Drosophila melanogaster: one gene and its partner. The protein of the gene in region 1 interacts with the protein of each later gene in a pairwise test. Each region holds a gene or a part of one and is shown in the gene's direction. Other genes may lie near its edges.

Region 1 (4,276 bases):
ATATAAGCTGTAACCAATACTGTAATATGATGAGCGTTTGCATAATTGGGGCCGGAACCGCGGGTCTTTGCTGTGCCCGCCATTCGATTGCAAATGGGTTCGAGACCACTGTGTTCGAGCTATCTGACCGAATCGGCGGCACCTGGGTTTACAATGAGGCAACAGGGGCGGTCAATGGCATCGATGTCCACAGCAGCATGTACAAGAACCTACGGTACGTAAATCTTTCGAAAAACCATTTGATATTCTAAGAGTTTCCGGGCCTCTTCAAAGAACCAACCTGCCCAAGGAGGTAATGGGCTTCCCGGACTTCGAAATCGGGGCAAACGAGGCTTCCTATGTGAGATCCGACGAGATCTGCGACTTCCTTAACCAATACGCGAACCATTTCGACCTGAAGAAGCACATCAAGTTCGATAGCTATGTGATTCGAGTTTTGCAGAGGAAAACAAAGTGGCAAGTAAGTCGTGGAGTCAGCTTTATATATAACCACTTAACTGAAACGTTTGCAGGTACTTTTCAAAGACTTGGTCACCAACAAGATAGAGTTCCAGTACTTCGACAAGGTCTTGGTGGCCAATGGCCACTACCACACTCCGAATTATAGCCAAATTCCGAATATGGAAAGGTTTAAAGGGCAGTTCCTGCACAGCCACGACTTCAGAAGTAGGGAGGTTTTCGAAGGTAATTAAGGAATAACTTCTATTAGGTTATTTCACATGGTGTTCCATTCTGCTCAAGGTAAATCCGTTCTGGTCATTGGAGCTGGTCCCAGTGGCATGGACCTGTCGAACATCATTTCCCGAACGGCGGATCGGGTCACCATAAGTCACCACTTGACCGATATCGGGCAACACTCATTCTTCGAGAACGTACAGCAGAAACCCGATGTGCGGGAGCTCGATGAGAAGGGAGCCTTTTTCGTGGACGGATCGTACCAGGAGTTCGACACCGTCTTCTTTTGCACAGGTTACAAGTACGCCTTTCCCTTCCTGACCGTCGACTCGGGCATCTATGTGGAGGACAACTACGTCCAGGAGCTGTACAAGCAGTGCATCAACATCAGGAACCCATCCATGGCTCTGATCGGACTGCCGTTTTACGTTTGTGCCGCCCAAATGATGGACATCCAAGCGAGGTTCATCATGAGCTACTACAACGGATCCAACGAGTTGCCGTCCACGGAGGATATGCTCAAGGACACCCGCGATAGGATGGGCAAACTGTGGGCGGAGGGACTAAGAAAACGCCATGCCCACATGCTGGGTCCCAAGCAAGTGCGATGCAAGTTGGCTTTACTTCTCTATCTGGTTATTAATTCTATTCTCATTTATTATCAAGATCGACTATTTCACGGACTTGTCGCAAACTGCAGGAGTTAAGAACATCAAGCCTGTGATGACCAAATTGCACAACGAAAGCAGCAAGTGCTTCAATGAGAATTTGCTCCACTTCCGGGAGGACAATTTCGCGATTCTGGACGACGAGACATTCATTAAACTCAACTAGATCCTGAATCAATCAATAGGAGCATTAGATTCCAAAACATCGTTTTTGGACTTCCCTTCGAAATAAAATAAATTTCCAATTCTTGTATTCCAAAACAACAGTTTAAAAAATGAGCTTTTATTCTCGAACAAAAACTTTTTGAACACCGGCAAACATTTGTTTGAACATGTTTGTTGGTATTTTTCCAAACAGCTGATTGCGGGCAGCGCACATTCACCAGCTCTGGCCACACTCGCCCGCCTCCTCGCAATCACCTTCTTGCATAATTTTCGGAACACCTCACTTCGCTTTCAAAGTTCGCTGATTTAGGTCGGGTCTTCAAAAGTGGAATAGCGCCTCGTCATGCAGTGTCCGTTCTTGAACCGCTTCACCGCCAGCTTCATCCGCAACTACGCGGAGACGCTGTGCCAATCCTACGGGAGCCACTGTCCCGTGGTTGGGAAGACCTTGGTATCCGGCGAGAAGAAACTTTCACTCGTCGCCGCAAGTGTTACAAGGTCTCACTCGACGGGGGCGAACGCCCACGCCAATGCTGGTGGCCCCGCAACTGCCAACGCCACCGCTCCCGTCTCCGCCCCCGCCTCTGCCGATCCTGGCAAGGCATCCGCCAAGGAGACCTTTCCCTACGAGCGCTTCTTCAACGAGCAGATCATGAAGAAGAAGCGGGACCATTCCTACAGGGTCTTCAAGAAGGTGAACCGCCTGGCAGGCGACGGGCTTTTCCCCCACGCCCTGGAGTACTCGGAGCGGACGGAAAAGCCCATTACGGTGTGGTGCTCCAATGACTACCTGGGAATGTCCGCCCACCCCGGCGTCAAGAGGGCCGTCCAGGACGCGCTCAATAGGCACGGATCGGGGGCTGGCGGCACCAGGAACATTTCGGGTAACTCTCTTCACCACGAGCGCCTCGAGAGTAAGCTGGCTGAGCTCCACCAGAAGGAGGCTGCGCTGCTGTTCACGTCGTGCTTCGTGGCCAACGATTCCACTCTCTTTACGCTCGCCAAGCTCTTACCTGGGTGCGAGATCTTCTCGGACGCAGGGAACCACGCTTCCATGATTATGGGCATACGGAACAGCGGGGTTCCCAAGCACATCTTCCGGCACAACGACGTGGACCACTTGCATCAGCTGCTGAAGCAGACGGACAAAAGCGTGCCCAAGATCGTCGCATTCGAGACGGTACATTCCATGACGGGGGCCATCTGCCCGCTCGAGGAGCTGCTTGACGTGGCCCACGAGCACGGGGCCATCACGTTCATCGACGAGGTGCACGCCGTGGGATTGTACGGTGACCACGGGGCCGGGGTCGGTGAGCGGGATGGTGTGCTGCACAAAATGGACATCATATCGGGCACCCTGGGCAAGGCGTTCGGTAATATTGGTGGCTACATAGCTGGCACCCATAACCTGGTCGACATGATTCGGTCGTATGCGGCCGGTTTCATCTTCACCACCTCACTACCGCCGACTGTACTGTGTGGCGCCCTGGAGGCCGTCAATATCCTGGCATCGGAGGAGGGTCGCCAGCTGCGCCACTTGCACCAACGGAACGTCTCCTACCTGAAGAGCCTGCTGAAGCGAGAAGGTAAGACGTAATTCTGGCATTTATGTAACTCGAATTGAAGGTTATTCTCGCACTTTCGTTTTATTTTAAGTGATGGCTATAAATATAGAAAGAGACACTTAACTTTCAGTTTACTGACTGCATATATAATTGGCCCCATTTCAGGTTTCCCCGTCGAAGAAACGCCCAGCCACATCATTCCCATTAAGATCGGAGACCCTCTGAAGAGCAGTCAAATCTCAAACGTGCTGATCGAACAATTCGGACACTACCTGCAGTCGATTAACTACCCAACCGTCGCCCGGGGCCAGGAGAAATTGCGGCTGGCCCCCACCCCGTTCCACACTTTTGAAATGATGAACGCCCTGGTTACCGATCTAAAGAAAGTGTGGGAAATGGTGGACCTCTCTACAAACGTCCCTCTTTCGCCCAACGCATGCATGTTCTGCAACTCGGAGAGCTGCTGGCACCAGGACACCTCCCCGGATCTGGAGTGTGGCATTCCCAACTGCCCTCGCCTGGAGATCTCGCTTGCAGCATAGTTGCCTCTTGGAAACACGACTATAAATGAAGCATTCGAATCATAAAGCTATGCCTAAATTATCTGTGCGGTTTTGGACAAATAAACAATGGTTTTGGTGCAATATACATAAATGACGAAATTTCAATTGGAATGGGCTAAGCTGATTGATGACGCTTCTATATGGGGTGATAAGACATGGACTAGAGTGTCACCTTCGCTATGAAGTTGCGTGTTTTTCGAGCCAGCTCCATGCAAATGATATTCAAATTGGGGAATCGCGTGGAAATATTTTCATTGAACCTTGATCCACACTCGTAAGCACTTAAAGGGCTTACCTAGTTTGAAATATTTATATGAAATTAGTCGCATATCAATTTCAGCAGTGGCAGGCTGAATCAGCACAATTATTGCTGATAACCATGACCATCCTATTACGGACCAATGTTTTTGATAATACCACAATAGATAATGATCCGATTTTATACACTTTGATTAGAGAAGATTTTGTACACATTTAGTAAGATCTATTGGGTCAGAGACTAGCCGAACAGCTGGAGATCGTAAACAATGATTCTACCAAATAGATCGGTGCTGGACTCGAAGACGAACTTTAGCTTTGAGCAGGGGTTTTCCCGGACTGATTCCGCAATCTGAAAAAGCTGTGGGGAGTTGATATCTTC
Region 2 (7,524 bases), about 14 Mb from region 1:
TAATTAGGGAGGGCGGAGTGCATTCCACATATGTACATACGTATGCATGTTTATATCTCTTCGGGGGCACGCGATGCAGAATATTTGGAGGACAGATGGGCAGCAGACACCCCCGCTCATTCGCTGCAGGATCAGTATGCTAATTTGGCAGGAATTTGTGTTTTTCGGGTTATACCACGCGACAAGGACGTGGAACACACCGCACGCGATAAAGTCCGCGGCTAGTTTCTCGATCCTATCGAGATCGGACTAAAATTAGAGCGTCGGAGGAGGGAGGGGGGAATTTCTAAAACGGGAGCAGCATTTCGCGCAGCTGTAGGCGTAAATTAAAATGCATTTTACGCAACTGTGCGACAAGATCCGGGCTTTAGATCCTGCAGCTGTTGCCCCTCGTACTGCATTTTCCTAATGGCACGCTCTCAACACTTGAAAAGGACACACCCCCGCCGCTCGGAAAACTGGTATAGGATAGCTCTCTGTTTTTCGTGGAAATTTACGCATTTTCATGCTCGACTACCGTTGCACAGAACAGAAAGGGAACCCCGACCGAAAATAGATTAGCCGCTCTCAAAGGATATTGAACCCGGCCAGGACCAAGCGACACCGAAGGACTTCGCCGTGGGTCAGTTGGTGTTGGTTTGTGGGACAACTGCCGAGGGGCGCGTGCCACGATCGGGGTTTTTGGGCCAGGATAATTGCCTCAAGTGCCGACAGATTGATGACCAGCAAACTCATTGAAGTATATATTTCAATTTCGAGCTAATGGCTTAGAAGTTGATGAAATCGGAGAGTAAAGAATTATTAAATTTAAGTTTTTTGAACACACATCTATTAAGAGGTTGTTCTACGTTTGAAATATGTATTTGCTAAATTAACTTTCAATCGATATTATGTCACTCACAAAAACGAATATTCCAATATATTTTATTTATTCAAAATATTGTGAATATTGCTTTATTTATAGAAGAAGGGAACACAATTTTTGAATTGTTTAGAAAAATAAGAACGATCTATTAAATGGCATAATTCAAAAATATCAAGTTTAAGCCATATACATGTATAAGTTACTTTTAAGTTTGACCAGTACAAAGTATATAGGAATTTATAATGGGGAAGCCAAGCTATATTATAATGAATAATTATTATTATTATAATGAATAATATCAAGATATCAGGGTTGTGCTTGCACCACAATTATGAAAAATAAAGTAATGACCCAGAAGTCTGTTATCATCTATTTATAAGCAGTTTGAAACAAATTAAAACCCACTTTAAATTTTATCAAATAAATATATTACCAATATACATTTAAATTTCGAACATTACATAGCAAAAAAATGTCAATTGAAATCAACAAATTTTTGAAAATGCGAGCCATATTTTCATTAAACGAGCTTGTATTTTTTGAACCCGAACCGTTTTTTTTTTCAAGTTTAAAAAGAATTAACTAACTCTAACAAAATCTAATATTTCAGTCGGTGTAGTAAAAACATAAACATAAACGATTTCAAATGTATCCTGAATACGCGGTAAACTTGTGTTTACCAACACCGCCTCTTAGACTATTCAGGCCTGCCAGATCTCCAAAAAAATATTATTTAGATAAGTTAGTGACACAAAAGGTTTAAGTCTTAACTGCGCTTAGCTGGGCTTTAAACCCACTGCCTATTCTTTGCTAATTGGAGTATTGCAAATCAGTTTTGAATCTGATTTATTTGTCCCGCTTACCAATTTTAATTGTGTAAATTCATTTGGTTTTACTTGGCCAACTTACAAATAATAGAATAATAAAAATGAAAGCCGTCTGTTTAATTATTAAAATAATGTGAATTAATTGGATTATTAATCTGGGCGTTATTATATAGAAAAGAAACCTAACTAACCAATTGCGGAAATATCGATAGCATCGCAATAAAATCTATATTGTGCCACCTCCAATTCACACAGGTCGGTCACACTGGGCAGGCTTGCCAATTTCAAGAGCCGCGGCCACACTACTGCGAATTCTATACTGCAACTCGATCGTGCGTGTTCTGTATTTTTGGGAGTGCGTTGTTAGAAATTCGGCCACAAATAGAATCCGCTGTCCTGGAACGAGTCAGAAACCACGGGAAATTGACTTCCGGACTAAATAGCGTTCTTGTGTGTCCATCCGTGTGCGTGTGTCCGCATTCTGCAGTGTGCGTGTGTGCGAAAGAGAGAGGGCGAGCGGTGCAGCCGCAACTGGGAAATTCGATTGCCAATATTTCAGCAAGGAAGCTATGTCGAGCGGTCAGCAATTGATGGCCGATTCGCCAGCCTGCAGCTCAAGTGACCATTCGCCGCTGGCCAAAAAAAGGCGTTTAGAGTTGTTGGGTGACGGAGTGGGGGCAATGGGAATGGAAGAGGAAGAAGCCGGCGGAGCAACGAGCAGCAGTAGCAGCAACAACTACGAAAATCACGACAAAGCAGGCGGCGTTGACATTTCGGGCAAGTGCCAGAGCAAGACGACTAGCGAGCACCAGCTGGAATTGTGCGTATCGTCGTCTACCTCTGACACATGCGGCGTTAATGCTGCGGCGAAGCGAGCCGAAAAGCAGAAACTGAAACAGAGCCAAGGAAGCGGCGACGACGTTAGTACCTCGTCAGCAGTGGAAAAGGAAGGAAGCAAGCGGCCGGAGAAGCGCAATTACCTGAACACCACCACAATAGAATCGCAAGAAGCCTCCTCCAGTGCATCCGCCACTAGCAACAGCAACAACAACGTCAGCTCCAGCAACAATAACAGTAATAACAGCACTAATAACCGACAACTGGAAGGAAGCAGCAACATGGCTGGAAACAGTGCCGCCGCCGGCGGAGATATCGATGAATCGCTGTACTCGCGCCAATTGTACGTCCTGGGTCACGATGCGATGCGTCGGATGGCCAATTCGGATATCCTTCTGTCGGGACTTGGAGGACTCGGCCTGGAGATAGCCAAGAATGTGATTCTGGGCGGCGTGAAATCGATCACCTTGCATGACACAGCAACTTGTGGGGTATGTGTGTGGGGCGAAGAAAAAATCGATAATTTTCCAGGCGGACGCGGGAAATGCCCGGAAAGGCTGACTTGGCATCCCTGGTCTTAGTGAATCATTCAGTTTTTATTTGATTTATTTATCATAGACTTCGCGCGAAATAAGGTTAGGTTAACATCTCTATTTGCTTGCAAAAAATTCGTTTTGTGTGTGTAATTCGGTTTTCCTTCTTTTTCTATTTGCCTCAAAATGTCTGCGCCATGCGAAAAGTGTGTGAGCGGGACAACCGTATGCGCATCGCTCGCTGCCGTTGTGTTTGCATTCCCCTTTGCTCAACGCATTCGGTTTTGTTTTATGCACTGAAAGATTCAACTTAAGATCTATGAGTTTCTCATAAACCGTAATATATCAATTATTTAGTTAATAGCCTTTCAATTTAAAGTTTTCTTGTATCATAAAAACTTTTTTGTTCTAATGACAAATATGTCTTTGCTGTACACTCGGCACAGAACCAATTTTCCTTTGTTAGTCATGGCTCCCGTCTGCTAATTTCATCACCGTTGATATATAATATTAATGATTATTCGTTTGTCTTGCAGCTCCATGACTTGTCGTCGCAATTCTATCTCACGGAAGCCGATATCGGCAAGAATCGTGCGGAGGCCTCTTGCGCCCAGTTGGCCGAGTTAAACAACTATGTGCGCACCGTTTCGCACACGGGGCCGCTTACCGAGGAGTTCCTGCGCAAGTTTCGCGTTGTGGTACTGACCAACTCCGACGGGGAGGAGCAGCAGAGGATCGCCAAGTTTGCCCATGAAAATGGCATTGCTCTGATCATCGCCGAGACGCGCGGACTGTTCGCCAAGGTGTTCTGTGACTTTGGCGAGAGCTTTACCATTTACGATCAGGATGGCACACAGCCGATCTCCACCATGATAGCTAGTATCACGCACGACGCACAGGGAGTCGTCACCTGCCTGGACGAGACGCGCCATGGTTTTAATGACGGTGACTACGTCACCTTCTCGGAGGTGCAGGGCATGCAGGAACTGAACGGTTGTCAGCCCCTTAAGATCACAGTGCTGGGACCCTACACATTTAGCATCGGTGATACCAGCAAGTTTGGAGAATATAAGAGCGGAGGAGTGGCCACCCAGGTGAAGATGCCCAAGACCATCAGCTTCAAGCCCCTGGCACAGGCCACTGAGGAGCCGGAGTTTTTGATCTCCGATTTCGCAAAGCTGGACTCGCCGGCCACGCTGCACGTGGCCTTCAATGCCCTCTCCTGCTACCGCAAGGCCCATAATGGAGCCTTACCGCGTCCCTGGAACGAGGAGGACGCCAACAGCTTCCTCGAGGTAGTCCGAGCCAGCAGCAACGCGGAAGTCGACGAAAAACTGGTGCTGCAATTCGCCAAAATCTGCTCGGGTAATACGTGCCCGCTGGACGCGGCCGTTGGTGGAATTGTGGCCCAGGAGGTGCTTAAGGCCTGCAGTGGAAAGTTTACACCCATCTACCAGTGGTTGTACTTTGACGCCCTGGAGTGTCTGCCCACAGAGGGTGTCGAGGAGGCGGATGCCCAGCCGGTGGGCTCGCGCTATGATTCTCAGATTGCCATATTTGGCAAGAAGTTCCAGGAGAAGTTGGCTGACTCGAAATGGTTTATTGTCGGCGCCGGAGCCATTGGTTGTGAGCTATTGAAAAACTTTGGAATGCTGGGCCTGGGAACTGGCAATGGCCAGATTTTCGTCACAGACATGGATCTCATTGAGAAGTCGAATCTGAACCGGCAGTTCCTGTTCCGCCCGCATGATGTGCAGAAGCCTAAATCAATGACGGCCGCCGACGCTATCAAACGGATGAATCCGGAAGTGAATGTCACCGCATACGAGTTGCGCGTTGGCGCCGAAACAGAGAAAGTCTTTTCCGAAGATTTCTTTGGAAAGTTGGATGGTGTAGCCAATGCGCTGGACAACGTGGATGCTCGCATATATATGGATCGCAAATGCATCTTCAACCGCATTCCGCTCGTCGAGACCGGAACTCTGGGAACTTTGGGCAACGTTCAGGTGATTGTGCCCTTTGCCACCGAATCTTATAGCTCCTCCCAGGATCCCCCAGAAAAGAGTATTCCCATCTGCACGCTGAAGAACTTCCCCAATGCCATCGAGCACACTCTGCAGTGGGCGCGTGACGCCTTTGAGGGCGTCTTCAAGCAGTCTGCAGAAAATGCTGCTCAGTACATCGCCGATCCTCAGTTCACCGAGCGAATCGCCAAGCTGCCTGGTATTCAGCCTCTGGAGATCCTCGATTCCATCAAGGTAAGGATAGAATTTACTTCTTTGCCTAATATGTTGTACTTAATGGTAATTTATTTTTACAGAAAGCTCTGATCGACGACAAACCCAAGAGTTTCGCGCACTGCGTGGAGTGGGCCCGTCTTTATTGGGAGGATCAATATGTTAACCAGATTAAGCAGTTGCTCTTTAACTTCCCACCTGATCAGATCACCTCCAGTGGTCAGCCGTTTTGGTCTGGTCCCAAGCGGTGCCCCGATCCCCTGGTCTTTGATGTCAACGATCCCATGCACCTCGACTTTATCTACGCAGCCGCCAATCTTCGAGCTGAGGTCTATGGCATTGAGCAGGTTCGCAATCGCGAGACGATCGCAGAGCTGGTACAGAAGGTTAAGGTTAGTTGTTCGAGATTAATACCGTCGGGGACCATTTCTGATATTATTGATTTATAGGTGCCCGAGTTTAAACCCCGTTCGGGCGTGAAAATAGAAACCAATGAGGCAGCAGCCGCCGCCTCGGCCAATAACTTCGATGACGGCGAGTTGGACCAGGATCGCGTTGACAAGATCATTTCAGAGCTGCTAAAGAACGCCGACAAAAGCTCCAAGATCACGCCACTTGAGTTTGAAAAGGACGACGACAGTAACTTGCACATGGACTTCATTGTGGCCTGCTCAAATCTACGCGCCGCCAACTACAAGATTCCGCCAGCGGATCGCCACAAGTCCAAGTTGATTGCTGGCAAAATCATACCTGCTATTGCCACCACCACGTCGGTGCTCTCTGGATTGGCTGTGCTCGAGGTGATTAAGCTGATCGTCGGCCACCGGGATCTCGTAAAATTCAAGAACGGCTTCGCCAACTTGGCATTGCCGTTCATGGCCTTCTCTGAGCCGCTTCCTGCCGCCAAGAACACATACTACGGCAAGGAGTGGACGCTGTGGGACCGTTTTGAGGTGACCGGGGAGCTGTCGCTGCAGGAATTCCTCAACTATTTCGAGGAGAATGAGAAGCTTAAGATCACCATGCTCTCGCAGGGCGTGTCCATGCTGTACTCGTTCTTCATGCCCAAGGCCAAGTGCTCTGAGAGACTGCCGTTGCCGATGTCGGAGGTCGTGCGTCGCGTGTCCAAGCGTCGCCTGGAGCCACACGAGCGATCCCTGGTTTTCGAGATCTGCTGCAACGATGTGGATGGCGAGGATGTGGAGGTGCCCTACGTCCGTTACACGCTGCCCTAAGCCCGTCTATATTCCTAATTTAACCATTAAATTATTTTACGATCCCGTTTTGTTGTCGGCGACGCGTTTTGGAATCGCGCAGCTCCAACGAAGGAGTTACTGTCTAGCTGTTTGCATTTTAATTTTCACAACACCATTACGAGAGCAGCCCAGATCTAGAAATTATATAAAATGTGTGTGAATCCTCTAAGGAATGGCAAAATAATACGCATCATACGAAATACAAAGACTCGACTAAAAGCAACACTTAAAATGCATCTGATGAAACTCTCTGCTCAGCATAGTTGTAAAGGTAACGAATTACGAAAAACCGAAGGCGGATTTTAATCGCATTGATTAATTGGAAATTGAAAACTGAATGAGCCAGGCGGAAAATTTCTCTTCACTCATATATTTTTTTTATATGGAAGCATAAACTAATTACGTCATTGTATTAAAAGGAGTAAAGCAAATGAATAAAGCTGTATATTTCATATGGTAATCGACCTGCTAGACGACTCAGATAATTTCGTTCAGCACTTGACGTCTGGTAATCTCATTTCCCCCGCCACTTCGGAAATTAAAATTGTAATGCATACTGCTCTGCCAGTGAAGTATATAGGGGATGCCATCTATCCGTACGCCAGTCAGTTTCAGAAAGTTACGTGACACAATTAAATATTTTATGCCCTCTCAAGACGTTTATACCACCCCCGCCCCGCACCCAAGGAGGCTGCTGCCACCAAAGTGCAATTGGCAAGTGCCGTAAAGTTGCACCGCTCATGGAAAGCGTTGGGCGGAGTGGCGGCGTCCTCTTATAATTAAATATTACACGCAATGCAACTGAAGTATGGCCAAAGTTATGCAGTTTCGCATCTCACTCTTGGCCTTTTGCGGCTTTTTGGCAAACTTGCTTGAATTATGCAGTTAATGAAAACAAAGCGAGGCGAGGAAAGTGGCTGCGCCGATCAGCTTTGTATCCGTCGAATAAGTGTGTTCTGGGCAGGGTAA

Evidence for each region.
Region 2: the proteins of Alas (region 1) and Uba1 interact in a two-hybrid assay, tested with the Drosophila melanogaster proteins (one large-scale study listed by BioGRID).

What each region holds. Positions count from the first base shown.
Region 1 is NT_033778.4:23,963,034-23,967,309, forward strand, and holds Alas (aminolevulinate synthase), read left to right. Parts: upstream 1-1,738; 5' UTR 1,739-1,851; coding exon 1,852-3,094; intron 3,095-3,238; coding exon 3,239-3,615; 3' UTR 3,616-3,724; downstream 3,725-4,276. Other genes in the region: Fmo-1 (Flavin-containing monooxygenase 1), read left to right, coding at 27-214, 274-460, 513-684, 742-1,277, 1,342-1,509; CG34213 (uncharacterized protein), read right to left, coding at 4,136-4,276.
Region 2 is NT_033778.4:9,687,778-9,695,301, reverse strand, and holds Uba1 (ubiquitin activating enzyme 1), read left to right. Parts: upstream 1-1,973; 5' UTR 1,974-2,261; coding exon 2,262-3,020; intron 3,021-3,598; coding exon 3,599-5,320; intron 5,321-5,382; coding exon 5,383-5,691; intron 5,692-5,748; coding exon 5,749-6,534; 3' UTR 6,535-7,013; downstream 7,014-7,524.